4 linked regions of the Diceros bicornis minor genome follow. The protein of the gene in region 4 interacts with the protein of the main gene of each other region in a pairwise test. Links are inferred from orthologs where the notes say so. Each region holds a gene or a part of one and is shown on either strand. Other genes may lie near its edges.

Region 1 (7,472 bases), on a different chromosome or scaffold from region 4:
CTTTCCTTTCTCCATTGTATGTTCTTAGCTCCTTTGTCGAAGATTAGCTGTCTTTAGATGTGTGGTTTTACTTCTGGGCTTCCAATTCTGTTCCGTTGATCTGTGTGTCTGTTTTTGTATCAGTACCATGCCGTTTTGATTACTACCACTTTGTGTATATTTTGAAGTCAGGAATTGTGATGCCTCCAGCTTTGTTCTTTTTTTTCAGGATTGCTTTAGCTATTTGGGGTCTTTTGTTGCCCCATATGAATTTTAGTATTCTTTGTTTTATTTCTGTGAAGAATGTCATTGGGATTCTGATTGGGATTGCATTGAGTCTGTAGATTGCTTTAGGTAGTATGGACGTTTTAACTATGTTTATTCTTCCAATCCATGTGCATGGGATATTTTTCCATTTCTTTATGTCATCATCGATTTCTTTCAGTAATGTCTTATAGTTTTCATTCTATAGATCTTTCACCTCCTTAGTTTAATTTATTCCTAGATATTTTATTCTTTTTGTTGCGATTGTAAATGGGATTATCTTTTTGAGTTCTCTTTTTGTTAATTTGTTAACAGCATACAGAAATGCAACTGATTTTTGTAAGTTGATTTTGTACCCTGCAACTTTGCTGTAGTTGTTGATTATTTCTAATAGTTTTCCAGTGGATTCTTTAGGGTTTTCTATATGTAAAATCATGTCATTTGCAAATAGTGAGAGTTTCACTTCTTCATTGCCTATTTGGATTCCTTTTATTCATTTTTGTTGTCTAATTGCTCTGGCCAAACCTCCAGTACTGTGTTGAATAAGAGTGGTGAGAGGGGGCACCCTTGTCTCTTTCTTGTTCTCAGAGGAATGGCTCTCAGTTTTTCCCCGTTGTATGAGTTTTCAGAGTATAAGTTTTATGCTTCTTTTGTTAAATTTATTCCGAAGTATTTTATTTTTTTTTGGTGTAATTGTAAATGGAATTGTTTTGTCAGAATCGTTTTGAGATTGTCACAGGTGTGTAGAAATATGGTAGATTTTTGTGCATTGATCTTGTGTCCTGCACCGTTGCAGAACTCACTAGTTCTAACCGTTTTAGTGGATTTCTTAGAATTTTCTAGAGACAAGATCATGCCATCTGCAATTAGAGAGAGTTTTGCTCCTTCCTTTCCACTTGACTTCACTTTCTGTTGCCTAAGTGTCCTCCAGCACGGTCTGGACCAGAGGCGGGGAGAACGGCCCTCTTGTCGTGTTCCTGATCTCAGGGGAGCGCTTGGTCCTCCCCGTCGAGTGTGGTGTAGTAGCGGGTGTGATGCCGGTTGCGGGTTTGGGAGGTGCCCTTTTCAGGTTTAGGAAGCTCCCTCCTCTTCCCCGTTTGCTGTTTGTCTCAGTTTATTTTTAACTCTGTGTAGGTATAGTCCTTTCTGGTTAGAGTAGTGGATGACTGTTGTGACAGCGGCATGCTCTCAGCGTTGTAGAAACCGTGTAGTTTGCTTAGCTGTTGGCCAGTGGGTGGACACAGGCCAGTCGGACTTTCTCCCCGCTCCCGAGTCGCCTCTCAGTCAGCATTCAGCCGGTGTCATTGGAGCCGCTGTGCATGTCGGACTTTGCTCTCAGCCGAGGATATGGTGGGGACACAAGTCCATCCGAGTTTGTAGTTAGAGGAAGAGTGTCAGGTCGGCCGTCCCCTGAGAGGCCAGACCAGGTGGTGGGCGGGTCCGTTCCGTGCGGACCCCGCTGTGGGGCTTTTCCTGCCCTTGGTGCTGGGGGTTGTGCTGCTCTCCACATGGGCACCCGTGGTTCCTGCCCGCCTTCCCGTGGTGGGACGCAGGGCTCTCTCTCCAGGCGTCTTCACACTCTGGGCTGGGGGGCCTCTGACGTGCCCTCCCGTGGCTTCCCTGCTGTCCCCTCCCCTCCATCCCTTTTGTCACCTCTGTTCATTCCCTCACAGATGTTTGCCTGTGTCAGTGCTGGGTGGTCGGAGGGTGGAGACGGGTGTCTCTGTTCTGCACCGCAGCTGACGGGTGGTTTCTGGGGGCAGGAGTGGAGGCAGCACAGACAGCGAGGAGGAGGAGGAGGAGGATGATGATGAGGAGGAGGAGGAGGACGGCGATGGCCGGGCAGCCAGCAGAGGGGCCGGGCCCCCTTCTTACCCCAGCCCCGGCCCTCAGCCTCCGGGTAGGTGAACGTGTGGAGTGGGGCGGGATGTGGGCACATGCAAGATGTCTGCCTGTGGTGCTCACCCTGCCCCCACCCCACCCCAGGCTCCAACTGGACAGCCAGCTTTAAGCCAGTGCCTACGGACGCCATGACCGGCCCCCAAGACTCCAGGGAGGAGGAGCCTCGCCCTGGGTCCCCAGTCCCACAGGGGCCCCTCGCCATGCCCTGGAACCTCCCAGCCCAGAGCCCAGCTGGCCCTGCAGCCCGTGATGCGCTGCAGCTCAGGTGAGGCAGGAGGCAGGGTGGGGAGGCACTGGCCTGGGTCCTGGTTCCCTTGGGCTCAAGTGCTGACCCCAGCACCCCTTGGGCTACTTCTCTCACCTCCCAGGTCTCAGGACCCCACACCCCCCTCAGCACCTCAGGAAGCCACAGATGGCAGCAAAGTAGCGGAGCCCTCGGGTGAGCCCCTGCCCTCCACACCCCGTCGCCCTTCCCCGCCGTCCCCGGGCCTTCTACATGCCCATCTGAGGAGCGAGGCAGCACAGAACCTGCTGAGTCTCCAGCCTCTGGGCCTCTCTTCCCCCGCACAGCCCCCTGCCAGGCCTTGGTCAGCGTCGGGGACCTCCAGGCCACCCACAGAGGGACGTGCTCCACCCCCAGCTCCTTGGACAGGTGACCAGCTGGGGCCAGCTGCTGGCCAAGGGGGAGGCGGGTGGAAGCTGACCCTGGGCTGTCCCTGCTGCGGAGCTGCTCTGAAGGGCCCTTGCCGGACACTCCAGGTCCGTGCCGCTGCCTTGGGCCTCGTGGCAGCTGCAGGTTGTGCCTATGGCCACACGTGGGCGCAAGAGAGGGATCCTGGAGCCCAGAGGCCCCCGGGAGCTCAACCTCAGGGGCCAGAAGGCTTCCAGAAGGGGACGGGAGTGTGCTGAGCCCGTGTGGAGCTCCCGTGGACGTGCAGGACTCCCCTGGCTGTGCGCTCCTTCACCGCTTACCCAATGGGCTGGGAGGTGAGAGCGTCCAGCAGGGCATCGGTACCGTAACCCCTCTGACCCTCTTCAGTGCAACCAGAGACCCTGCTACCTCTGTCCCAGCCCCTGGGGCCCACCAGCCCCCCCAGACCGCGGAGGGGGAGAAGAGCCCAGAGCCCTTGGGGCTCCCCCGAAGCCAGAGGTGAGCACGGGGTGGCCTCGTGGGCAGCAGGCATTATGTGGAGAGGTACTGACCTCTCCATGCCCTCTCCCCAACAGTGCCCAGGCCCTTGAGCCGCCTCCGATACCCAATGGCTCTGCCCCGGGAGGGCCGCTGTGCCCGGGCTCCCAGTGAGTGGCTGGGGCAGGTGGACTGGGGGCTGCGGGTAGGGCTTGGAGGGCGGTGGGTGGCTCCTCACACGGCTCTCTCTGTCGGTTCCCAGGTAACTGCCTGGTCCCAGCCGTGGCGGCCAAGTCCTCCGTACTCCATGTGGACCTGCCCGGGTGGGGGGCAGGGCGGGTCCCACGATGGCCCGGTTGCCCCATCACCCCACCCCCGCCCACGCTCTTTCTGGACTCCCAGGAGGCTGGTGCAGGGAGCTAGGCCCCCCACCCCCACCCGCATCTGCACTGAGAAAAGAAATTACGGAGTCTGTCTCCCAGAATAAAGATAAAGAGTCGAGTACAGAGAGAGGAGAGAGAGAGAGAGAGAGAGAGAGACCTATATTATATATTATATATATATATAAATATATATATGTGTTGAGGGGGAGAGAGTGGGCGGGAGGAGAGCCAGAAGGAAGCCAGGCCGAGGGGCGAGGGGGGACCTTCACCGTGTCCCAGCAGGGCCCCTGCACCCTCTCCCCTCCCGCCACGCCCCCGCCCTCCGGTGCAGACGGCCTCTCAGCTCAGGTCACCTCGGGGAGGGCCCGAGTGCGGGCTGTGCCTTTGCCCACCCCCGGCCCCGGACCCTGCACTTTCACCCGAGCTGGGAGCTAAAGGACCCTCTGCCTGGCCCAGCCAGCTCTGTGGGGGCTGGGGTCCCAGTCCCAGGGGGTCCGCCTTGGTGTCATTCCCACGGGGCCCTGATGCACTCACCGAGACCCCCGCACCTCCCGTAGACCCAGAGGCAGGGGTCCGGCTGGGGTCCCCCTCCCATGCCCAAGGGCCTGGGGTCCAGCCCAGCTGCCAAGTGACCTTGTCCCAGCTCCCTCTCCCCAAGCCGGCGTGAGTGTGCGTGTGTTCGTGCTGAGCTTCTATTTCATATTGCAAATATAAATAAATAAAGGAAGACAGTTGAAGACTCCTGCTGCTCAGACCTGGGGTTCTGGGCCCAGGGGTGGGAGAGCCTGAGCCGCTCCCGCACCATGCCACAGGACCCCGGCCCTCCCTCAGCCTTGGGGTGCGAGCCTCAAAGAGTGGAAGGAGGCTCCAAACCTCTGTCCTCTGCTGGGGATGGCGACACCTCTGTTCAGACCAGGAAGGAGTCTCCCAGGAGGAGGAGCCGGGAGTGGCCTGCCTTGTCTGGGACCTGGTCCTGGCAACCATTTCCGGGGACCCAGTGGGTCCATGCCTTCCACGCGGAAAGTTACGGCACAGACCAGGCACGCCTGCCCGACATGTACGTGACATCCAGAGCTGGGGGCCGGCACGGTGACGGTGACCTCGCACAACTCCTTGGTGTGCACTCGTCCAGCAAGCGTTTGTGGCGGAGGCCACCAAGGCCTGTCTGTGCTGCAGGGAAGGAGCTGGGGGAGCCCTGCTGAGGCCAGAGCCCAGACCGCAGGGGTATGGCGGGGAGGGGATGAGGCAGTTTCCGTCCTGCCCCAGCACCCCATCCCTTTGATTGGCTGGCACGGCCCCCCGGGGACGGGGGCCTGTGAGGAGAGTAGGGACCCCTGGGTCCTGAAGGGCACCTTATCAGTGGGTACCAGGCGGCTCCCTGGGCCCTGTTATCAGTCCCAGAGTCCACGGGACGCCCCTTGGGTTAACGTGTAACCACACGCCATCCCCTCCACCCCCAAAGCCACTGGTGCCCACATATGAGCCACTCTCGGGGGGTTATAGGCTGACATGGATGCCGGGAAAAAGGGGCTTCCCCAAGAGTCTCGCTTCTCAGCCCAAGTGAGGACCGTCCAGCGTAGGAGGGACTGGGCCTGGGTTTCTGGGAACCCAAGCAGCCTGGAGGTATTGGGGGGTCCTCCCTTCTGGGAGGCTGGGTCTGTGGGCCTGGATGTCCTGGTCCCTGAGCAGCTCCTCCAACCCTGCAGCGTGGCTGGGGTCCCCAGGTCAGGGTGGGGTGGAAGCCCCAAGACCTGAGTTCTGGTCTGGTGAGGCCTGACCACCAAGGGCTGGAGATTGGCTGAGGCCCCTGAGGCCAGGAGGGTTTTGGAGCCTTGTCTCAGGGGCTGGGGTAAGCCCCAGAGACTCAGCAGCCCCCTTGTCCCCCGAAGCCGCCGTACGTGGGCAGGTGGCTGAGCCTCTTCTTCCTCACCTGTGCTGTCTACCTCCTTCTGTGGACCCCCGAGGCCCCACCGTCCTGGGTCGGCGCCCTGGTCAAGTGCCTGCCTGTCCTCTGCCTGGTGGTGCTCCTGCGGGCCGTGCGCTCCAGTGCGCTCCTGCAGGGGGGCCTCCTGTGCTCGGCCGTGGGGGACGCCTTCCTCCTCTGGCCCGCGACCTTCCTCTACGGTGAGTGGGGCCGCACTGCCCCTGTCAGACCCCACACAGAGGGGTCTGGGGCGCAGGGGGCTGCTCCCCGATAGAGTGCCTGCCATGAGCGGGCAGCGTTGAAAGGCACAGGGGCCAGCAGTGACCGAGACACACGCAAACCCCTGTCCTCATGGAGCCCTTGTTCCACTGAGAGTCAGGCAGTGTCCCCTTAGGAGGCGTGAGTGGTGCGGAGGGGAAACAAAAGCAAGGGACTAGGGGTTGCTGTCGTGAGTAGACCAGTTGAGGACAGCCTTGCTGAGAATATAATGTCTTGAAGAGGGTGCGGGAGCCAGCTTGTGTCCATCCGGGGAAGGCTGGTCCAGGCAGAGGGTCCAGCCAGTGCAAAGGCCCTGGGGTGGGGGCACGCGGTGTGTCTTCCAAGTGGCCTGGTGAGTGGAGCTGAGCAGAATGGACAATCGGTGGGCAGCTGTGAGCAGAGTAAGGACAGAACGCAGCGTGCGTTTTAGAATCGCTCTCGGGCCAAGGGCGGGGAAAAGGGAGACAACCACGGAGGCCGGTGCAGTAATCCTGGAGGATGAGGGTGCTGGGGCCAGGAGAGGAGCTGGTGCTCCGGCACAGTCCTGTCCTTCAGGCTCTGGGCAGCGAGCTGAGTTGGGGAAGCAGGACTCGGCGGTTCACGGGGCGCCCCCACCCCTGTCTCCTCCAGGCGTGGCCGCCTTTGCTGTGGCCCACTTGCTCTACATCCGGGCCTTCGGCCTCACTCCCCTGCGGCCAGGCCTCCTGCTGCCCATCGTGCTGGCCTCGGTGCCGTACTGCGGCCTCCTGCTGCTGCACCTCTCACCCGGCATGGTGCCGCCCCTGACGGCCTACGCCCTGGCCCTGGCCACCATGCTGTGGCGTGGCCTGGCCAGAGGTGGGAGCGCCAGCTGGGGCGCCCTGCTCTTCACGCTCTCCGATGCTGTGCTGGCCTGGGACACATTCGTCCAGCCCCTGCCCCACGCCCGCATGGTGGTCATGGCCACCTACTACTCCGCCCAGGTCCTCATCGCCTTGTCGGCCTTCCAGAGCCCTGGGCTCCAGACCAACTGACCAGGGGCCGAGGCGGGCGGGTGTCTGCCCCTTCCCCTCCTGCAAGGACCTGGGCCTCCCAGACCTGCCCCCCTGGCCTGCCTGAGAAACATCCCCGGGGGCGGAAGCCAGGCTCCCCGGCCTCCTGTCTGCAGGCGCTGGTCCTCTGGAGATGTGTGGGAGCTGTTCGCACAACTCCGAATCCACCGCCAAGTTCCCGCCACCTCCCCGCCGTCCTGACTCCAGGCCCCCACCCAGACCCGCGCTGTGCCCTCCCGCCACCTGCCCTCTTCCCTCTGGCCCTAAGCTTTTTTGTTGCCTGAGTAAAGTGGACTTTGAAACTACGACATCTCCGTTATTTTGAGTGGGGTGTTGGGGGAGGGGTGATCACAATAATAACAACAAACAGTTCTTTTTTTTCTGCAACAAAATTTACCGTTGTAACCATTTTTAAGTACGATTCAGTGACGTTAAGGATATTGACAGTGTCGTGCACTGCATCTTTTTTTATTCTCGTGGTAAGAGCACTTACTGTGAGGTGTATCCTCGTAGCACATTTGTACGTGTCCAGTGCGGTATTGTTAGCTATGCACACAGCAGACTCCCCGTGAGCAGGCCTCGTGCCCGGGGCTGGTGGGACA
Region 2 (7,670 bases), on a different chromosome or scaffold from region 4:
CACATAAAGCACCATGGATTATTATGACTCCAGTGAGGAAAGAAAACAAGATTTAAAAAAAAATTTTTTAAAGGTTCAATTTAGGAAGCACGGGCTTATACTATGACCTTCCTTGGCTCTTATTCTCCAAATATATTTATGACATTTTTAAAAGACAAGAAAGAAAATTATTTTCTCAGTTATTCTACTCTTATCCCAAATCTCCCAATCAGTCACATCCTTTTTCTCCTCCTCCACAATGAGCTTTAAAATTGAGAAGGATTTTTTAATTGTCCCTAAGACTTACTTCTGCAAGATAGTCATTCAGTACAACCTTGCCATCTTCCCCAGTTCCCCCTTTATTCACTCATCTAATCATTCATTCAATCAGTAGTTAAGAATTACTAAAAGCCAGGTTCTCTACTAGGTAAGAGTACTATAAAGAATAAACAGTGGTATGAATATGAGTTAAAGGCCCAGCTCTCAAGAAGCTGCAGTCTAGTCTAGGCAGGTACACTAAGGAACACAACACAAAGAGACAGATAACAATAGAGGCGCATGCAGAATTGTTTGGCATAAAGCAGGGAGGGCTGCACAGAAGAAAGAGTACTTTGCTGGGAATAAAGGCTGGTAAGGAGGACATTCCTACAAAAAGTAGCGGGCTTAAAATAGAACAATAGCCTGTTCACAGGACCACTGCAGCTGAACAGGCCAGAGCACAGGATACAAAGGAATGTGATAAGAGGTGAAGCTAGAAAGACAGGACCTAAAAAAGCAAACTAAGAGGTCTGGATTTTAGAGACTTCAGTTGGAGAACTCAGTCCTCCTCTTTCAAAAAAGAGCTGCCTCATACCACTACAGAAACATCTGCTAAACATCCACAGGAATTCTCAACTTTTTTTGTGCCGTGGACTTTTTTGGCAGACTGCCAAAGCCTGATGCTCTGTTCTCAGAATGTTTTTATATACATAAAATACACAGAATTCCAAATAATTTTTGTAGACACTCCACTCCTAAGGTAGTGAAGTGTAACCGTGGGCTGTGCATAGTGACTTTCTTCTGGAGAGGAAAGTAAGGAAGGGGGAAAAAAGAGTAACTCACAGTGGAGAAACCAGATGAACACCACTTCAGCCAGGTGATCAAGGTTACCAACGACAGTGATAAGTCATGTTGATACTATGTCCCCTTGATATGTGATGAAAAAGGCACTTTACCTCTCTGGTCTTCCTCTCAAAAACACATTAACCAGTTTAACCATGAGAAAAACATCAGACAAATCCCAAGTGGGGAACATTCTACAAAATATGTGACCAGTACTCTTCAAAATGGTCAGGGTAATCAAAAAAGGAAAGTCTGAGAAACTGTCACAACCAAGGGGACCAAAGGAGACATGACTACTAAATATAATCTGGAATCCTGGATGGGATCCTGGAACAGAAAAAGGACACTAGGGAAAACTGGGGAAATCTGAATAAAGTATGGGCTTTAGCTAAAAAATGTACCAATAGTGGTGCAACTGTTGTGACAAATGGGTATATCACACTAATGTAGGATGTTAACAACAGGGGAGACCAGGTGTAGAGTATACAGGAACTCTCTGTACTATATTTGCAATAATTCTGTAAATTTAGAACTGTTCTAAAATAAAACTTTTTAAAAAAATAAATAAGATGCATAGAATTAGAAAGGAAATGAATTCTACTGAAATAATTATTTTTAAAAAACAAATTTGTGATGTAATATTTGCGCTTCTTTATTAACGCATTAAATAACAATATTTACAGGCAGGTCTAATGATGGTAATTTCAAAGTAGTGATGAATGTAAACAGTATTTCAAGCTATGTGCAACAACGATAATATATGAAATGATCTGACATTGCTCTGGTGACAGTTAAACGCACCGCTGACACTTGCGCAGTTTGTGGTCTAAGGTCAAAACTGAAAAAATGCTAAATCTCATTTAGAGCCTAATGAAAATAAAGATGTAACTTTTTTCCTACCCAAGTTATCACTGAACTCTACCCATATGCTGCAAGTTAAGAATCATCATCTAACAGAAAAGAAAAAATAAATACTAACATTAAATGGACACTGTGTTGCAGGATCTCTAATAGTCACTGCACATCCTTCATCTCATTAAACCTTCAAAACAAACCCATTCCACAAAGAAGGCAGCTTCGGGAAGCTGTCTGTATAAGGTCATGTGACCAAAAATGGATTCAAACTATAGTCTGACTTCAAATGAAGATTCTGACAAAGCACCTCTAAAACATTTTCCAGACCCCAGCTGTGGAATTGTGAGGAACGTTCTACTGATTATACTGTAGTTCACCTGATGCTCCTATTCAACAACTTTCAGTTTGGACAATCAGGCTAAAACTAAAACCTAACACTTCCTACAGCTCCATTGGGACTACTAATAATAAAAAGCAGCAGCAGCAGCTAACCAAAAGGAACAATGTGAACAAAGAAGCTCCCCACTCTCCTATGCAGCTGAAAAGTCTAAATTTTGTGTCCATTTTCCAACTCTGACACACGGTTACTATCCTTCTAAGGGTGTGCACGTATGTGTGTGTGGCGCCTATGTATGCTTTTTCAGCAAATCTGCCAACATGTGAGATATCCAGGGCATATTTTACTCAGTCTAGGGCAGTTTCTTAGTTTATCCAACTAAGACTAATTCTATTTTCTTAGAACTAGAGGTGCTCACACTACAATGATCTAATCCCTAAACTTCATTTTCGAATCAATGTGTAACTGGCAGACAAACTTAAAAGCAAACTCTCTAAAAATAGTAAGTTTTCGATAATTAATCTATCTCCATCTTAAAATTTCTTAGTTGATGTATGCTACCCTATGAAATCTATATCCAAATTATTATTGTTTTTTTCTCCCACAACTTGCCAACTTATCTGGAAATTATAACTGAACAGATCCGGATTTGACTCCTCAGTCTGACCCTTAGCAGCTCTGTCATCTTTGACAAATTCCTATAAACCACTTTAGGCCTGTATTTCAAGCCTAGGTTTTGTATTGCAGTCATCATTGGCAACTGATGATAATAACAGATCCTTATTATATAAGGATTGGAAGAAAAAATGCTTGTAGAGTACTGAGCAAAATGTCAAACGTTATTCATGCAATTTCTTTAATTTGGGGTTTTACTTTTAAGTTGTAAATTTTCCCTTAGCAATGTTCACAGAAGGTCTTTGCTGAAATATTATTTTTCTGTTAGTTTTAGCTGATTCATTAAATAACGAGAGATTTTCTCTAGAGAAGGATTTTATCTTTCTTTGGAAGAAGCCAAAATCATCTCCATGTAAGGACACATGAGCAGCTGCTGCAGCGCATTTCAGTCACCCACAGGAAAGTGAAGCAGGCTGAGTTCACGTTGCAATAAGTATAAAAAAATTAAAAACTAACGAATAGCTACTCCAGATTTACAAAAGAGATTTAAGAATCAGAATTTGCAGGTGTGATGATTTAAGTAAATCTAATATACTAACAAAAAATTAGAAGAAACAGGAAAATGATGCATGGGTTTTCAAAAAAATTCTTTTCCCAGTTCTACTATAAGATAAACTGTTCTAGGAAGTTCAAAAATTTCATTCCATTTACTAAAATTTCATTTATATAATAATTTTCAGGAAAACAGCTACTGCATTAAGGCACATCCTTTTAGAAATACTATACAACTTAAATTTCCAACACATGCACACCTACTGTCAATAAAGTATCATTAACTAGGATGCCACTGATTAGGAATCTGATTATTTCTTTGTTGCTAGAAAGTCACTCTTCATACTGCTTCAGCTTATAAAAGTTTTATAAGACTTGATGGTAATTTAATGCAGCTGTTAAAAAAACCCTACATACTTAAATTTGTAAATTTTTAAAATTTTTTATTTTAATTCTGTAAACTTTTCTTAGCATGATATATATCAGTTTAAATAGGAGAATTACTATTCATAAATATATTGTTAAAGCCCTAATTAAAGAAAGCACAGGTGAATTAAATACATTTACTAGTTCTTCCTTTATAAGATAAAGCTAATTTTTTAAAATGAAAATCAGTTATTAGCCTGGTTTTCTCACACACTCTCCCTCCCCCATACACACGCAGGTATGAGGAGAGAAAACAAATAAGACAGAAAAGGTATAAAATTTGATTCTGTGAAAATGTTTAATTCTTGTCTTGCCAGAAGCTAACATTACGAAGCTGCAGTATTAAAGAAACAGTAGCAATAACAACTCAATGAAAGTTGCTTGGCTTAAGCCACTATTATTATCCTCACTCTATTAAAATTACCATTACTATAACTATTTTAGTTCTTCAGCATTATCACCACCAGTATACAAGTATTTCTAAACCTGAAGATGCATGAATCTTTCAAAACAGCTTTCTATCCCCCCAATTTACTCAAATTTTTTTCATTTATCTTCCATATACTTTTAAAAATTAAAAACAAAAAAACGAAGCACAAAGTGTTAATGACCTTTCCATACTTAAATTAAGATAAATGACGTTCAAAAAGTTTGGTTGTGATAAGACGATAGCTAACCAATCACTACTTCAGAATTCCTGTGTGACATCATAAGACCTCCCTAGAACACTTTTTCTCCTCCACCTACTTCAATTGTTCCCACAGATCTGGTAACAGAGTCAGAAAACCTTCCAGCTAAACGCAGATAACACTTCACACAACTCCGTACTCTAAATTGTGATCATCACAACGGCCAAGGTAAGAAACAGATGTCACTGATTTTGGTAATTCTTACTTTCTATAATTCAAACTTACTGTACTTTTTAAAAAGAGTTAATCATATTTTGTAAATTTCAGTTTAAAGTTAGACAATACAATAAAGTGTCTGATATGACAAAAAGCTTAATTTGTAAATAAATGCTAATTTTTTAATTTCTAAATAAAATTCAGTGGCAGTAAGAATAAGACAACTTTAAAATAAGGGTCGCATTCATTTTTGGTCCTGGTTATTGGTTTGTCATTTTCATTTAACTTTCACTTTTATTTTGCTTTTCAAAAGTGAATTTCTGCCAATTGAAATATCTTTCAATTATTTTACATATTTGGTGGTAGTGGTGATTTGATTTCTCCATGCAAAAACAATAGCTTCACTTTGTTATTTTTACTCTGCTGAGAAATGAGGATTGCGCTATTTATATCTAAAATACTATGAACAGTCGTGTGATTGTACAACATGCACATTATTGGCATGACTATTCTGATACTATCATCATGACTCTTTACAGTGAATATTAATAGAGTTTAAGAATATATAATACAAACTACTTTTAAAATGCTTTTGAAGACTTTTTTCTTATCTATAAAATCCAGTCAACTTTCACCAAACACTTGTAAAAAAAAAAATCCAAGCTTTTAATAAATTGAGTTACTTATATTAAATTCAACAGTATATCATAAATAACAAGTTCAGAAATTTTAAAATACTTGTCAAAAACACATGTAAAGTTCTAAAGTTACAAAATAGTATTTCAGAACTTTAAAAATAGACGTTACTTTGGCAGCATAAACATTCCTAAATATCTGATTTGAGTGAATCTGATAAAATGAATGTTTATTCTGCCTATTAATGAATATACTTTTATCAAGTTACTAATGAATATACTTTTATCAAGTTACTATCTTCCAGTGTTCCTCAGTTTCCTCTTCTGCATTTAAAAGGTGAGGGGGAGGAAAAAAGAAAAAAAAATGCCCAGGAATGGAGACACCACAATAAATTTTATAACTTCTGTTTGAATTCTGCTCTACTCTTGATGTTACTACAATCCTCAATTTAATATATGAAGTGTATCTTTATTCTTAAATCTCAGTCAGGGCATAAAGAACATCACATCGATTTTGTTTGACTATTTTTATTTTCCTAGCTATATGTCAAAATAAAATTTACCTCTAGAATTCTAAGTCCTTAGGACAAATGTTTACTGCTTTTTATGGATAAGAACTTTGTAACTATATAAGCAGCTTTCCTTATGGGATGCCAAAACATTTCTAATTTTTGTCTACCACTGAGGCACCCTAACTGCCTCTCAATATCTTTATATTCATAAAATGTTCTTCCTCTGCTATTACACAAAAGTCACTCAGTGTGGCTGTTTTATATGCATATTTATGCATTTTTACTAAAATACCTATCAAATTACGTTCTCACACTTCAAAAGGGATGCTCATGAGTTCTTTTATAGTATCAGAACTTCACCACATCACAAATTGCTCCAAAAAGTTGATAATTTCTAGAAAGAGCAGAAATTCTGCTATTAAAGTTATCCTTAGATAAACAATGTGTCTAGATTAATAGAAATTACATAGTTATAGTGACCGTTGTTCGAATTTCAAACATAATGCCCTAGTGTCGGACGTTATGTCCCAACTAGTTCATCTCTATCATAAGGTGAAATTTAAGTATTGTCTTTGTTTATAAAGACATGTGGTTTAAAACTAAGTGCTAAAAAAAGTGTCAGATGAAATAAAATGGAAGAAATGTGAAAGATGTTTTAATTATGAAAATTCATTATGTTTTAAACACACGAAAGAGCTAGAGTACTCTGCTTTACTAAGAAGAGTCACGTGACAATCATTTCCTAAAACTCAAGCATCAACATCATTTTAAAAGTATTTTAGTGGACATAAAGGAAAATAATATTCCAGAAAAAAATTACATTTGGCTACATATTTATACATATTGTTTCTTAATATCACTAAATTGGAGATAAGAGAATATCTGTATGAACAAAATAGTTAAAAAAAATTTTTAATGTATTAAAGTATTACATAATATATTAATTATGTAATGTACCAAATTATGTAATATATTAAAATTTTAAGTAAAAATTAAATGTACAGATTAGATTACCTCTCTAAATTAGCTAATATTTATTACCAATCCTAAAAACAAATTCCTTCCTTATTCTTGAACAATTTTCTAAATGCATTGGTGTATACAAATATTTCATTTGATGCTCTTAACTCCCTCTATGTTTGACACTATACCTCTATTTTACAATTTAGGAAACAGATGGGCAAAGGTGAATTGCCCAAGGTCACAGAGCTAGGAAATGGTGGAGGCTTGGCAGGAGCTGAGGTTTTATAACTCTTCATTTGCACATCCCATCCACTGATCAACACGGCTTAAAAATAAATCATGACATTGGCAAAGCAAAATAAATTGCAAGACCTCAAATACTGTTAAAATGGTATGTTAAAAGGCAAAGTTGGAGGATACGAACTTTAAAACCACTCCATTTCATTTAAAGTTACTTTACACACGAGGCATTACGTCCTTAGTAACCTACATAATATCCTCCTGATCATTTCAAAGCCAGGGATATAAGAAAGTTATAGATGACCACAGTTACTAAGCAATACACCCTGCAAGGCAAAACTCAAAATAACTGCACAGACTTTAAAACAATAACATGCCACAATCAATCAAGTTAATGTTTCCTTTTATTTGTTGCTTTGCTAAAATATTCATGCCTTTTATCTATTTAGCCTTGATATCTAAAATCTAGGTTAATTTCTCCTCAAAACTTTTCACAAAAACCACACTTTCATGTTTTATTCCAGTTCCATATTAAATCCTTAGCTTTCCTCAATTTCATTTCTGACGTCCTCATATTCTACCATTTAAAATATTTAACCCCATTTGTTGC
Region 3 (7,396 bases), on a different chromosome or scaffold from region 4:
GACTGATTTTGAATCCTACTGATCTACAAACTGCATGCAACTTGCCCTGCCTGGATTTCTAATGTGGGCTTCCTGTTTAGCCTGAGATGTTCAGAGGGTTGGAGACTCGGGCCACAGCAGCCTGAAGCCTGTCCATCCTCCCCTTGGTTGTTCTTGCTCAGGCCAGAGGCTCTCTGTTCAAACATTCTTTGGGAGCAGAACAATCTTCCAAGCAACTTCCAAGCAATGTGAGTCTGGAGAGAGGCGTTCTCTAGAGGTGGCTCTGTCCCTTGCCTGCTGGGTGGCATTGGGGAAGCTGCCTCTGTATCCCATCAGTGAAATGGAACACATGACATGGGTCCTCATGAGTTAGGTGGATATTTGACAACCAAGGAGAGTAGTATTATTTCTGCTGTGTTCAGATCATATCAAACATGCAGCCTCTCTGCAGGGACCACCATGCCAAAGCTGGCTGAATTTTCACATCGATGGTGGTGGATTATGTGGAAAACCGATTTCTCCACGTTGCTAGTAGCTATTTGGTGCTCCCCAGGCACTCCTTTCCTGAACTTATTCATCTGATTATTTTGGCTCCAGGCCATTATTCACTCTATCCACAAGCCATGGGCATCTCCCTTTCGCAAATACACATCCAACTCATCCTCTGCCCCCATCCATTGTTGCACTGCTCCTGAATCTTCAGGAGAGGAAGAAGAGCACCCTCCACTTACCCCACCCCATGCCAGCTCAAAGTATGTGACATCTCTGGCTCTCAGCCTTCAGTTCTCTTGGCCAGAAAGGCAAGGCCAAGCCAATTGGCATGAAGTTGGGTGTGGAAAGTTCTAGCCACAAGTACATAAGATGTAATATACTGCCTGCCAGCCAGCCAGCCTTCTGTGCCAGGGCTAGAAAAGCTGTAGGAAGCCACTTGCCTTCCTAAATTTTGTCTTGGAGGACATTATCTTGGGAAGAAGAAGCAAAGCCTCAGTTCCAGAAGCCACAATGCTAACAGGTGACCCCAGGCTTTCACTGGTATTGTGCCTTCTCTGTTCCCCTTTATGATCTTCTACATGGACACGGAGAAGTAGACCACCAGATTGGGCACTTGAGCCCTTATTTAGTTTCCTGGGAGAAATTCCTGAGTTTCAGAGTTCCTGAGTTTCAGAGTTCAGTCTATACAATGGAGCAAAAAGAACCCACTTGCCTAGTGGCCTTCAAGAATCTGGTACTATGGGATCACACAGCAGAGAGTGGAGGTCATATCCAAGTGTTTTGGAGTTATTTGCAAGAAAGCTGCACAACCAAAGCAACCTATGATCAAGGGGGTCCAGATCCTCTGAGGTACCATCAGAATTGCATGAAGCGGGGCTGGCCCCGTGGCTTAGCCATTAAGTGCGCGTGCTCCACTACCGGCGGCCCGGGTTTGGATCCCAGGCGCGTACCGACACACCACTTGTCTGGCCATGCTGAGGCCGCGTCCCACATACAGCAACGAGAAGGATGTGCAACTATGACATACAACTCTCTACTGGGGCTTTGGGGAGAAAAAGGGAAAAAAAGGAGGAGGATTGGCAATAGATGTTAGCTCAGGGCCAGTCTTTCTCAGCAAAAAGAGGAGGATTGGCATGGATGTTAGCTCAGGGCTGATCTTCATCACAAAAAAAAAAAAAAAACGAATTGCATGAAGCAAACTGTTTACTAGTTTCATACAATCCTGCATTGTTCCCACAGGCACCCAGTGCAGGCAGCAGGCTGCCACCAAGAAGGCTGGCGGTGCCCTCTTGAGGAATCCCTAGGCACTGCCAGGGATCCAGCTGGACTTGAACATTTTGCCAAGGGCACCCAGCAGAACCATTGGAAGCAGAATCACAGAAATAGGTGAAGGTGGATGGATAAAAAAGGCCCCTTGGGGACCTGGAAAGAGACCCTGTGAGGGCTGTGGGGAGGGCTCAAGAGAAGGGGGGTGAGTGGGTGCTGAGGCAGAGTGTCAGGGTGTCCAGAGTGACTACAATACACTAGATCCTGAGGAGCTGGGAACCTTAAGGCACTGGGGATAGTGAACAGGACACAGTCATCTGACCGAGGTGACTGTCCCTTTCCTGGGCATAAGAACAAGGTGGAGACAAGAAGACATGCTCCGTCAAGGAGTGTGGAGAGAGAAAAAGAAAGAAAGCGAGATGGGGATACAGAGCCACAGAGAGAAACAGACATAGAAACAGAGAGAGAGATTGAGACTTGGAGAGAAGACAAAATGAACAGTAAGGCAGTAGAGATGGAGGAAAGGAGAAGAGAAACGTGTGTTAGGGAAATGTGGTTGAAAAATTTGTATCTGTGAGTTTACGGGGAACACTTCTTTTCTTCCGAGTAGCCTGGCAGTCCCCAGAGCTACTGCTGAGAATCCAAGGGCAGATTTGTGAGAGGGTTCAGCCTGAGCGATTTCTCCTGCATGCAGAGCTGTGAAAAACCATCTCTCTCATCCCCTAAATCAGAACTCCCAAGGTTTGGACTCAGTTCCTTCTGCCATCTGAGGAACTGAGGGCACATATTTGGTGACTTCTTGCTTTTGGTCCTCCCTCTCCTGAGAGGGACAACCACCATCCAGAAGTTAATAGTTGGCACAATCCCACAACTCCACTTCCTCAGCAGGCAGAATCTATGGCTGGAGAGCAGTGCTGGCGAGGTAAGGAGTCCTGGGCCCCTCTACCATCAGTCATATGGCCTTAGTCTGGTCAGCGCTGGAAAGCTATATGGTTCTGCAAAAGGGGCAGCATTTACAGGGATCCTTTCTCTTTGGGGCTGGTGTAAAAGCAAAGGATCTAGAGTTCTAGGACTCTTGACAAACCTCAAATACTGCAGGACTCAGGACCCGAGTGGACCCACAGGGGCGTCTGCAGAGGACTCACGTATTTCCTAACAGCTAGAAATGTGTCCAAGGTCACAGCCCATAGAGAAAATTGCAAGATATAATCTTGCCTCTCTCCCCTCACAGGAAGATTCTAGGCTCTGCTCAGTACCTCCTTTCTCTCCTCTCTGATCTCAAGGCAAAGCCATAGGAAAAACTTTGGAGGGCCATACCTTCCTTCCCTGGAGTCTTCCAACAGGTACTCCTCCAGTTATATGCCAACCAGTTTCCTTACAGGCATCCATGAGAGGATGTGGGCCTCAAAGTCAAGAGAGTTGCATCTCTCTGAGGCTCCTAAAGGGATAGAGAACACTGACAAGGAGCCTAGATAGACACTGATTAAGATTCACCTCTTCTAGAAAACATTGCCAGGCTAATCCCACCTAGTACTGGGCACTCAAATACCTTTGCAGTCTTTAAAAATAACTATTATTGGTAAGGCAGTTTTCATACATTATGCCCCTGTTTTTGCTGCTTGGCCATTTTAGTCTTAGTGTTTTTGTCTCTGAGGCAAGGACTATATTTCCTTTTCCCTTCTCTCCACCCTCATTGGCACCTGCTGCTTCACCCCAACCCACTCCCTGCCTCTCACCAGCCTGTCCTCAGCTCTCTAATGACACTACATTCTCAGGATGGGATATTGACTACCTGATTCCCAGATCGTGTTCTTGACTTGTCTCAAAGTCAAGTACCCTCCTTGGAAATCCCCCACATCCCTAACTCTGACCTTTTCTTTAGGCTATTCTGTGAACCTGCACAGGTCTTGCCTCCTTTCTGGGTCTCTGTTATCCTATCTATAAAATTATTACAATTGTAGCCTCTCCCAGCTTGGTCACAATCTGTTCGTGGAATCAACAGCTTGCGTTTTGTCCTCATTCGGTGGAAACCAAGATGGATTTGGAGGAAATTATTTTAAAAAACAATTTTTTCTTCTCTAGTGTGTTTCTAGAGCTGGGGCGGGGGAGGGGTGCTTATTTGCCAAGGGATGGGGGGAGGGGAAACGTGGACAAGGCCAAGGGCAGCTAGGAGTGAGGGGTGGGATTGGGGCAGAGTTGGAAGGACTCTGGGAGATAGCAGCAAGGTTTTTGACCTGGACCCTCTCGCCAGGGCTACCACTTCCATGGCTTCTGACACTTGTGCTGCCACATCCCACACCAAATAGACCCAAGGATCAGTTGGAGGCTTCCAGGACCTCTTTTTATTTCCATCCCCAAACCACATTTCCAGATGTCTCTGCAGCAAAGTGAAACTCCATACAGGCAAGCCTTAGGGAAAAAAAAAAAGAAAAAAGAAAATGAAACAATTGGCAGTGAAAGAAAGAGAAGATAGAGTCCTTAGAGAAGGGAGTATCCCTGAGGAGGTGGAGACAAGGGGAGGAGAAGGGGAGGAGGAGAGGAGGAGGAAAGCGGGCCTGTCCCTTTAAGGGGGTTGGCTGTCAATCAGAAAGCCCTTTTCATTGCAGGAGAAGAGGACAAAGATACTCAGAGAGAAAAAGTAAAGGACAGAAGAAGGAGACTGGAGAGACCAGGATCCTTCCAGCTGAACCAAGTCAGCCGCAAAGCAGACTAGCCAGCCGGCTACAATTGGAGTCCGAGTCCCAAAGACATGGGTGAGTTGCAAAAACTTTAGCATGGAAGATTCAAGCAGGCACAAGAATTTGCAAGAGGATTTCCAACTTTGGGGTTCGGAGTTTCCAATGGTTTAAATGAGTTGTGTTTTGGCACTTTTTTTTTTTTAATTCCTTAGCACCCAATTAGATTAACTCCTTCTCTGCTGTACTGAGAATGATGCTTTATTGCCAAAGAACTCCAACAGCACGTGGGGAGTCCCACAGATCCTTGGAGAGAGTGCCCCGTGGGCTGCATGCGGTCATGTGTCCTCCTACCCCCTCACTTCCCTCTACCTTCTCTTTTCCCCTGGTTCCCAGGCCCTGGTAATGGCCAGGTCAGCTGATGTCCCTGGTTCTGCTGGAGGCAACTGAGTGTTTGCTAGCCTTCAGATGTACAAAATAACTGCTTGCTTAATACAAAATTTGGACCCTGTTTGGCATCAGAAGGAAATTGGGGAATTGGGCTAGATGGACTCAGGCTTGGCCATGGCTGAGGAGGCCAATCTCAGGTTCAAGAAATGAAAATAAAGTCCTCAATGGCTTTACCATGGGAAACGGATATGGGTAGGGGGGTGCGTGTGTGTATGTGTATGTGCACGTGTATAAGTGATCATTTCTTGCAAATATCAGACTTAGCTTTCCCGAGGACATGGCTCAGACTCTAAATCCCTGCTATGACAGGAGGCTGCTGGAATCTTAGGGCTCTTGCTGACTCAGTTGAGTATTGAGGGCTTCTCCAGGTTTCATGAACAGAGAGAAGCTATGAGGTCTGGTCTCTAGTAGTGTCTACTCAGAGCAAGGTGTGCAGAGCACGAGGGTCTTTGTCCACACAGGATGCCACAGAGTTGTGTAGACATTGCTCACATTTGGCAAAACAAGGGTAACAGTTTGAACGCATCCTAAATGAAGTGAGAATCAATTGCCCCGTGTATTCACCACCAAATGTAGCACCTAGAAAATTCCAACAACATCCACAGAAATAGGCTCTCAGTTATAATAAGCTGGTGTCAGCCTTTAAGTTGTTTCATTCTGAAACACATACATGTTCTTTGAAGCATGTATTCAGGTAGAATAATTAAGAGGGCAGAGCATGGACTAGAAATCAACACAACTAGGTTCGAATCCCAGATCTGCCAAGGTCATGAACTTCCTGACCTTGGGTTGGTCACTGTGAATTATCACTTCATCGTCGGGAAAATGGGGATAACCATAACTGCTTCGTCTACTTTCAGGGTTGTGAAAATCAAGTAATAATGATGTGGAAGTCGTTTGAAAATGGACGAGCTCTATAACAATTGTAAATCATGATAATACTGATTATTCAACAATAATGCGTGTACAGGCTGGATCTTACACTTTCCAAAGTGGTTGGGCTTTCTTTGTGTGCACTTTGTGCACTTGGCTAAGAATCATTTGAGCAATTGAGTGTGGTCAGGTGAGAGGTGAATGTTGGAGGAACTCAATTCCTGCTTTAGGTAATATCAGGAACCTTTCCTAATGTCAGGGCAGCTGATTAAGTAGGTTGTGAATTGAAAACGGAGAGGGAGTAAAGAAAGATGTTGAATATTACTTTCTCAGGGGATGAAAGCCCTGAGGAAAAGGCAGGAACAAATAAGGTGACCACAGGGAAGTCCCCTGGGGGTGGGTGATACTTGGGTCGAGTGCACATGATGGAGTAGCCACTGAGTTTTCAGTTATTTGATAACTATCTCAAATGCTTTGTAAATAATAGGCCATTTCTAACAAGATACTGACCTGTTAATCCTTCTGATGTGGAGTGTGCTGCTGTTGAACAATTGTAGTAGACAAATTAGATCACGGAATCTGGGATTGGAAGGAACTTTAGAAGCTGTCTGAGCCAACTCTCAATGCAGGAATCCCTTCTGCAACAGCCAATTAAACATTCCTACAGTCTCTGCTTGATCACCTCCAGGAATAGGGAGCTCACTACCTCAACCATGTAGAATCTCATAGGTTTGGAAGTGAAGAGGAACCCTGAATTCAGTAGTGTCTATGCAAAAGGTTTATGAGGGAAATGATAGTTCATTAAACCGTGTGCTGACTTGGGAGAGGGATGTTTCAAATGAGTCTTTGGGATAACAATGGAACCGGAAAAGAGCCAAAGAGCAGTAGCTGATTATTCTCTGCTCAGTAACACAATGCCATTACTGAACAACAAAACATTGGCTCCCTCAAGCCTGTTGTCTGAGAACACTGGCTGTTACCCTGGTAACCAGACTATGATGCTTCCCTCCAAACGTGGCTGTTTGCCGAGCAGTGTAGTTTTGGCTGGCTCAGAGTAAGTGGGGGTAGCCCAGGCCAAAAGTGTGGAGGCAGAGCAGGGGTCCAGTTTTACAAAATGCCTGAAAACTAACTGAATCCCACCATGATGACAAGAATCCTGCAAGAATGCCAGGAGCTAAAAAGAAACCAGATCCAAACCAGCATATTCACTTACTCTCTGCCTAGAGACGCTGACTGAAATGATCATGGACAGCATCCCCCTACTCCCCACCTTGGCACTGCAGAGCCAGAGGTGCTCTTGGAGACCCAGGCAGATTGGAAGGTCTGCTCTGCTTCGGGGGGCTTTTGCCCTGGCTCTGTGCTAGGAAACCCAGAAGTTTACTCAACAGCCTGTCAATTAGAACTATTCTCTCAAAGCTATCTGAGTAGTAACAAGGCCCCCAAAATGCCTGGGAGATGGGTGGGAGGGGAAATATAGTATCCAAACCCATCAAGGCAGAACCCCAGCCAGTGGTATCTTTTTCTTTGTTGATTTTTTGTGTATTATCTTGAAGCCCTGAAAATCATCCCCAGGGTATAGTTCTTGGTCTTGAAAGAAAGCAAAAGTAGAAATGCCCTCCTTGCCCACAGAACCTCAGGTCCAGAGAAGATCAAGTCAGGGC
Region 4 (7,903 bases):
CCTTAACCCCATAGAACCATAACAGAAACATAATTTAACATGTTTTAATTAAATTATTTCAGGAAGCTCTTTGTTTTTAGACCATTTCTTTCCACTAAAATAAAATTCTAATGTAGTAAGATTTGTTAAATACTCCAGTAATATGGTGTAGAACAGATCTATAATCCTAGTTTAAAAGAGAAAAATAAAAATCCACAGATAACTCAGTCACAAATCAAAACTCTGGAATTTTAAACATTAGCAAAGTTTTTTGGTTACCAGATCTCTAGTCTCAAGACTCCCTGGTGGTTTGGGCAGGTAATTTTTCTAAAGGTCCACAAATTAACATGAAGTCTCAATAACTGTATTTTTTAATCCATGCTTTCTTAGCTCCTATAGAATTCCAGGACTTTCTCCAAAATGAAAGAAGTAAAATTAAATAATCCTAACAAAAATTGTGAAATTGAAAAAATTCACCCCATCCAGCTGAGAAATGCAACTGAGCAAGGCGTCATTTTTAAAACTCAGCAGACACTAAGTATTCTAGTGTAGACTATCCCTTTCCAACTGAAACATACCTAACTGAAACATTCTAGTTTGATCTTGTGTTAACAGCTGCCCAAAACTGTTTTCACTCAGCACGTGGCACTCAAAGATAATGTACTTACAGAGGAATGCCTCCCTCTCACTCTCTCCCCACAAACACATAAACAGAGTCTGATTTTCACAATAAGTTAATTAGGCTTCCCATAAACATGTAGATAGCTCATGTAAAAGGGAGATATAAAATGCAGTTACTCTGTTCCACTTCTAGAGATATGCCAGAGAGAAATGAAAGCACACATCTACACAAAAACTGGCACATGAATGGTCACAGAAGCATTATATATAACAACCAAATAGTGGAAGTAACTGCCCATCAATTAATGCAGAAAATGTAGTATATCCACAATGGAATAGTATGTGGCCATAAAAAGGAATGATATACTGATACATGCTACATGTATGAACCCTGAAAACATTATGCCAAGTAAAAGAAGCCAGTCACAAAAAACCACATATTATATAATTCCACTTATATGAAATGTCCAGAATTGGCTACTCTATAGAGACAGAAAGTGAAACAGTGGTTGCCTAGGTAGGAGAGATGGAGGAGAGTGGGAATAAAGAATGACTGCTAATGGGTACAGGTTTCTTTTTGGGGTGATAAAAGTTGTGATGATGGTTGCACACTCTGTGAATACACTAAAAACCACTGAATTTTGCAATTGGTGAGTTGTATGGTATTAATTATATCTCAATAAAGCTATTAAAAAATCAGCTACTCTGAAAACAGCCCCCTTCTTTCAACTCTGTAATATATGTTAAGAACTCCTGGTGACCATTTATTTGGAATAAGACATGAATCAAAATCATGTTTGAAAAACAATAAAAAGCAGGATGACAGTACCAAGTGATTGTTTAAAATTTCTGTATGTCTAAGATATTTCATAACAGAAATATATTTTTAAAACAATGATTATTATTGTTGCAAATCACTTGTCCCAAAAGCTTATAAGATATACAGGAGTATATATCTTAGGTATAAGATATTTAGTAAATACTGATTAACTATTGTGCTAGTGAGCACATCTTTTCTTTACAAAACTGGTGGGACTCAACCTTACATATCCTTCAACTGAATTCAACTATTGGGGTACAGTCCTCCATAAAAAAAAACGAATCATTTGGAAAAAAATACCGAAAATAGCATTTGACCAAAGTAAAAGGATTTTCAAAATCCTTCGTGGCCTATCATCAAATAAAGAATATTTCATAATGGTTTAAATATTTTCATTTTCCAGGTGCAAATGTGCAGTGTACATTTATCCAACTGTGTACATGAGGTATAAACAGTTCACTACCTACACAAACATTTGCTTGATTTTCTGGAAGATAAAAAAAAAGAAGGTACTAGAAGGGTGTGGCAACTCATCCAAGGTCACACAACAAGTCAGGGCAGAGATCAAAATTCTGGTTCACACCAAACCTCCAGGGGAAATCTTACTGACAATTTCGCAAAAAGACTTGTTTGTTTTGCTTTACATCATAAAGAAAAGGGGCGGGGGGCACTCTGACTTTAGTTTAAAACTCCTAAAAAGAGACTCAGGTGGCTATTCTGGATAAACAAACACTAGCGCCGGGAGTGGTTAAGAACTAAACAAAGCTATCAGTCAGGAGCCTGTGAACAGGCCACATCTGTCCGATTTTCAACCTAGGTTAAAGCCTTAACTCACAAAGTCTGGGAGTTTTCCTTCATAGTCGGTTATGAAGGAAAGACACTTGGCACCTCCTTGGAATGCTAAGAGGATAAGAGTCAAAAGAGGAAACGACTTAGTGTGAACCGTAGTGCCTCCAAGGGTAAGAAGGCAGGTTTTTCCAGGGAAAAAAATAATAATAATAATGGGTATCAGAACAGCAGTGAATAAAGAATAAAAAATTTCTAACACTGTGAGAAGAAACGACTAGGACTGGCAGAGCTCATCTACAATCACTCTAAACGAATCACAAGAAAACCTTTTCCTCGATCAAAAAGAAGTCCACGTTCCCCCACCTTGTCCTAAAAATGGACGGGGTGTTCACGTGAAGGTATCTGGGCGGAAGAACAGGGGTGCAGGGCAAGGGCCCAGCCGCTACTCCTCTGGCAGCTCCCTCGGGAAGCCCGCTCAGCAACCCCCCGCGAGGGGACCACCCGAGACAGGTCCGGTGATGAAAGGACCCCGTAAGCTTCGAGAACCCTCGGGCGGAGGAGCGCGGGTACACATACACTCTCACTCGCTCACAGTCACACACTCACTCACGCGTCGTCGGAACCCCCTGGGAGCTGGTGGTTCTGCACAGACTCTGGACACCGTCCTACCCAGTGAAAATGGCCTGAGGAGCTGGGTGAGGAACCCAGCTCTTACTGCCCGGAACCCCGCTCCCCTCACCTGGCCCTGGCCCCTGCCCCAGAAGAGATGAAAGACGCGGCGGCGGCAGTTGTTTCCGACAGGGTCCCCCAGCGGCAGTCGCTGCTCCGACCCGCGGCCCTAATCTACCGCCGCCGCCATGTTGGAGGGTGAGGTCACCCCCGGCGTGCTTCCGTCACCGCCGGCGTCCGGGGGCGCCGAGGAGCGCCGGAAGGGGGCGGCTCTGTTCTCCCGAGCGGAAGCATGAGCCATAGAGGCCTGGAGGGCTCTTCGCGCAGACTTGACCCGGAAGAGCGGATCTCTCCTGGCCCGCTCTTCCCGGGAGTCGCTCAAGTCTGTGGTGCCTGCGGTGGCGGAGTCCTTTGGCGGTTGGAGAAAGGGAGGTGGGATGGTGATCTGCGAGTCGTTGTGCGGGGAGAGAGGCTGGCCGTTCCCGCGGGAAGGAGCGCTGTTACATCCACAGAACACGTTCTGTGGCTGTATTGAGTAGACCAGTATTGAGCTTAAGTGTGCGCAAGGAAGCGGTTAGATAAGTGTCAGGAGTCCCGAGAGCTGCCGAGTTCGCAGCCACTTGTGGGGAAGATGGTCCTTGGAAATTGGGAAGGATTTCCGGGGGGGGGGGGGTTAGAGAGGTCCTTCCTGGTGGAGGGCCCTGCACTATGGCGGTAAAGGGGCTCTTCAGTCGTAGCGTTTTGTTCACAGCACTTAGCACAGTGCCTGGATGAGAATGTGTGTCCGTGGATGTTTGTTCACGTGAACCCAAGCGTTCTTCGGGGGAGTCACTGAAGGTACCTAGTCCAGAGGGTACAGTATCTAAACCATGCTTTAGGAGGATCAAATCTCCCTTCCAACATGAGATAAATTGGAAGAAGGAGAGCGTTGAAGATGAGGAGTTAGAAGGCTGTTGCTAAGGAGCCAGGTCAGAAGTGATAAAAGCCTGATGAGGAGTGACTGCTGGTGGGTACAGGGTTTCTTTTGGGGGTGATGAAAACGTTCTCAAATGGATTGTGGTGACGGTTAGCACAACTCTATTAATATACTTGAAACCATTTAATTGTACACTTTAAATAGTTGAATGGTGTGGTATGTAAGTTATATCTCAATGAAACTGAAAAAAGAAGTGATAAAAACATGAACCTGATATAAGGTTGGGTGGTGGAATGGAAAAGAAGATTGGAGCTGGTGTCATAAGAGGCTTTAAGCTTCAGTGACTGAGAAAACGGTCTTGCCATTATTAGAGAAATAGGACAAAGATTTGCCAAGAAAAGGCTTAGTGAGCTAACAAACTCCCTAATAGTACCTAATAACCAGTCCATAATTAAATTTCCCCAATTGTCCAAGTAATGGCTTTTATAGTTTTTTTAAAAAATCAGGATCATGCAATACATTCGGTTGCTACCTCTTTTATTAGTCTCCTACTCTTATTTTTAATAACCTTTGGGCCGGCCCGTGGCTTAGCGGTTAAGTGTGCGCGCTCCGCTACTGGCGGCCAGGGTTTGGATCCCGGGCGCACACCAACGCACGCACTGCTTCTCCAGCCATGCTGAGGCCGCATCCTACATACGGCAACTAGAAGGATGTGCAGCTATGACATACAACTATCTACTGGAGCTTTGGGGGAAAAATAAAAATAATCTTGACTTTTTGAAGTATATTCATACAATGGAAATTACTCAGTAATAAAACAAAAATGAACCATTGATAAATGTTTGCTTTTTTTCCCTTTTTTATTTTATTTTTCAAATGTATGCCATAAGGATAGCATATAGGTCAATGGAACAGAATAGAAAGTCCAGAATGGTCAATTGATTTTCGACAGAGGTGTCAAGGCTATTCAATGGGGAAAGGGATAGTCAAGTGGTGTAAAATGCTATAGTCTTGTTACAGAAATTACTTGACTTTAATCACAGCAGTTTGTGCGTTTTTTGGTTTTTTTGACCGATCTTATGAGTGATGCAGAGTTTTAGCTTGCAGCTTGATGTGGTTATAAAATCTAAACTCTAGACTGTACTCATTCATTCTCATTCATCAATTATTTATTGAACACCTACTATCTACCATGCAGTGTGCTGGGTGCTGGCAAAAACAATGGTGAGTAGGTCAGACATCGTCCCTGTTGTGAAGCTGACATTTTCATTGGAAAGCCAGACAAAAGCCTAGAAATGAAAAGAGAAAAAAATTTAAAATTGTGGTATGTCCTGAAGTAAACAAACCAGGGGCTGGAATAGAAAATAAGGTAAAAGGGTGTTCATGAAGAGCTCTCTTGGAGGAGATATTTTAACTTGAGACCTAAAGAATGAAGAACAAGCTAAAGGGTAGGTGGAGGAAAAGAACTTCTCTGGCAAAAAAACTTGGTGTTCTCCAGGAACTGAAAAGATACCAGTAAAGCTTTGAGGTGGGGAGCCAAGGGAAGAGGAGTGATGGGGTCAGACAAGCAGGGGCCACGTCCAGCAGCGCTCAGACCCGGTGGAAGGTGTTCAGAAGGGGATAGAAGGCACGAGAGGATTATAAATTGGGAAGTGACTAGATGCCATCAAGGCTTTAAATCACTCTTGCTGCTGTGTGGAAGATGGGTTGGAAAGGGGCAAAAAGTGCAGGCACTAGAGTTTCACTACTTTCTGTTACCATTTGTTTTTTCTTTTTTTTTAAAGATTTTATTTATTTATTTTTCCCCCCCAAAGCCCCAGTAGATAGTTTTATGTCATAGCTGCACATTCTTCTAGTTGCTGTATGTGGGACGCGGCCTCAGCATGGCCGGAGAAGCCGTGCACGCCCGGGATCTGAACCCGGGCCGCCAGCATCAGAGGGCGCGCACTTAACCGCTAAGCCACAGGGCCGGCCCATGTTTTCTCTTTTTAAAATTAAATTCTCAACATTCAAAGACAGATTATTTACACTTACCTCCAGTCTCTCTTTTTGTGTACCCCCCAGCAAAAAACTCAAGAGTTAGATTATCTATTCTGCTGACTCAATGGCTAATTAAACTGCAGACTGAAGCCTCAGCTTTGGAGCAGGTGAGACAGTGAGCATACAGACCATCTCTTTGTGACTAACCTGGCAGGAATCTAGGTCAGTGATTTTGGTGAAGCCATAAGTAAATAGGCTTATCTAGGCGTGGGATTTTTGGAGTTTATCTGAAAAGCTGTTTTTTTTTTTTTTTTCTTTTTTTTTGTGAGGAAGATCAGCCCTGAGCTAACATCCGTGCTAATCCTCCTCTTTTTGCTGAGGAAGACTGGCTCTGAGCTAACATCTATTGCCAATCCTCCTCCTTTTTTTTTTCCCCAAAGCCCCAGTAGATAGTTGTATGTCATAGTTGCACATCCTTCTAGTTGCTGTATGTGGGACGTGGCCTCAGCATGGCTGGAGAAGCGGTGCGTTGGTGCGCGCCTGGGATCCGAACCCCGGGCCGCCATTAGCAGAGTGTGCGCACTTAACCACTAAGCCATGGGGCCGGCCCTGAAAAGCTGTTTTAATAAAGCTTCTTCACAAGACCTAGCTAGTATAGGAGGAAATTGGATTTGGAAAACTACCAACTAGTTAATGTTTGCGTGTACTTATAATAACTTTTTCACTCCAGAGACTGTCTCTGTGAAGCTTACCACATTCCTATCAGACAGGACCTGGCCTGTTCCCTGATGAATCAACAAAATACTGCAGAAACTAGTTGTAAAGAGCATGAACACGGGGGAGGAGAGAGGTGCACAAAAGGGGATGTGAACTATATCTGTAACACTATTTCTTTTATTTTAAAAATGAAGTCTTAAGGTAAATGTGACAAGTGTTAATTGTGATTTATGGGTAGTGGTACATGGTGCATGAATGTTTGAATTATTCTTTGTACTTTTTTAAATTTTTTAATGTCTCAAAATAATAATAAATAAATCATAAAGATCAGCACACTGCTTTCCAAAAAACAAAAGCACGTTGATCTGGACAGGACTACATCTATTCCAAACATTAATTCATAAACTATTGGACATGGGGCATTGGATTACCAGTCCCACTCCCCAACTCCTGTTATTTGCAGAACATTGTAAAAATAAATGGGAGGAGGGATTGTAATCCAGAGAAGTGAATACCACCGTATCCTAACCTAGGGATGCTAGAGGGTGGCGTAATCCTAGAAATCTGTCTTCTGGGATGGTGAAGAATGAAGTTACTAATGCAAAAACAAGAGAGAAACAAGCCTATCATCTGGTTTAGCCCAGTTGATTAGAATACTGATCAAGTTCAAGTCAACCTCGTTGTCCTTTGTCCTATTAGTTTTATTGTCTTGTGGCTGAATCCTTCCCTTATCCAACGTTACCAGTTTTCTCAAATATGTGTACCAATCTGTCGTACACTACAAAGAGTAGTATACACTAGTACAGCTGGAAAACAATTTGGCAGCCCTAAAAATGTGGCACCGTTCCCATGAAAAGAACAAAGTGACATGTGCTTTCTGATGTGAGGCACTGAGGACACAGTGTCACTCATGTAGCACTCCTCCCATAACGCATAACCGGAGTCTAACTATGAGGAAACTATCAAACAAAACCAAATGGAGAGACTTTCTACAACTGGCCTCTTCAAATGTCTGGTACTCTTCAAAAACATAACTATCAGGAAAGACGAAGTCTCAGGAACCGTTCCATATTAAAGGAGACTAAAAAGACATGATAATACAACAGGATCTTGGACTGGATCCTAGATGAGAAAAAAAAATTGCTACAAGGGATAGTGGGACATATGGCAAAATTTGAATACGGACTTGTTAGATTTCCTGAATTTGATCCATCTACACTCTTGTTATGAAACATGCTGAACTATTTATAGTCATGAATAATATATATATGGAAAGATATAGCAAATATAGCTAAATGTTAACAATTGTGAAGGGAGTTCATTGTACTATTCTTACAACTTATTATAGTTGAAATTTCTTCAAAATAAAAAGGTAATAGTAAAAATGTGTGTACCCTTTGACCCATACTTCT

The links.
Region 1: the proteins of BCL2L13 (region 4) and TMEM86B interact in binary tests that used the Homo sapiens proteins (3 or more experiments, as listed by UniProt). The two-hybrid records come from large-scale screens. The link is inferred for Diceros bicornis minor from reciprocal best matches to the Homo sapiens genes BCL2L13 and TMEM86B.
Region 2: the proteins of BCL2L13 (region 4) and PLN interact in binary tests that used the Homo sapiens proteins (3 or more experiments, as listed by UniProt). The two-hybrid records come from large-scale screens. The link is inferred for Diceros bicornis minor from reciprocal best matches to the Homo sapiens genes BCL2L13 and PLN.
Region 3: the proteins of BCL2L13 (region 4) and PLP1 interact in binary tests that used the Homo sapiens proteins (3 or more experiments, as listed by UniProt). The two-hybrid records come from large-scale screens. The link is inferred for Diceros bicornis minor from reciprocal best matches to the Homo sapiens genes BCL2L13 and PLP1.

What each region holds. Positions count from the first base shown.
Region 1 is NC_080773.1:33,243,243-33,250,714, reverse strand, and holds the start of TMEM86B (lysoplasmalogenase), read left to right. Parts: upstream 1-4,460; coding exon 4,461-4,820; intron 4,821-5,160; coding exon 5,161-5,217; intron 5,218-5,546; coding exon 5,547-5,781; intron 5,782-6,469; coding exon 6,470-6,852; 3' UTR 6,853-7,472. Other genes in the region: PPP6R1 (serine/threonine-protein phosphatase 6 regulatory subunit 1), read left to right, coding at 2,007-2,143, 2,230-2,410, 2,514-2,584, 2,716-2,797, 3,185-3,295, 3,373-3,444, 3,537-3,540. UniProt on the Homo sapiens protein: Catalyzes the hydrolysis of the vinyl ether bond of choline or ethanolamine lysoplasmalogens, forming fatty aldehyde and glycerophosphocholine or glycerophosphoethanolamine, respectively and is specific for the sn-2-deacylated (lyso) form of plasmalogen.
Region 2 is NC_080762.1:17,735,243-17,742,912, reverse strand, and holds the start of PLN (cardiac phospholamban), read left to right. Parts: upstream 1-4,661; 5' UTR 4,662-4,722; intron 4,723-7,670. UniProt on the Homo sapiens protein: Reversibly inhibits the activity of ATP2A2/SERCA2 in cardiac sarcoplasmic reticulum by decreasing the apparent affinity of the ATPase for Ca(2+).
Region 3 is NC_080781.1:96,811,850-96,819,245, forward strand, and holds the start of PLP1 (myelin proteolipid protein), read left to right. Parts: upstream 1-4,377; 5' UTR 4,378-4,486; coding exon 4,487-4,490; intron 4,491-7,396.
Region 4 is NC_080756.1:61,801,473-61,809,375, reverse strand, and holds the start of BCL2L13 (bcl-2-like protein 13), read right to left. Parts: upstream 3,018-7,903; 5' UTR 2,949-3,017; intron 1-2,948. UniProt on the Homo sapiens protein: May promote the activation of caspase-3 and apoptosis.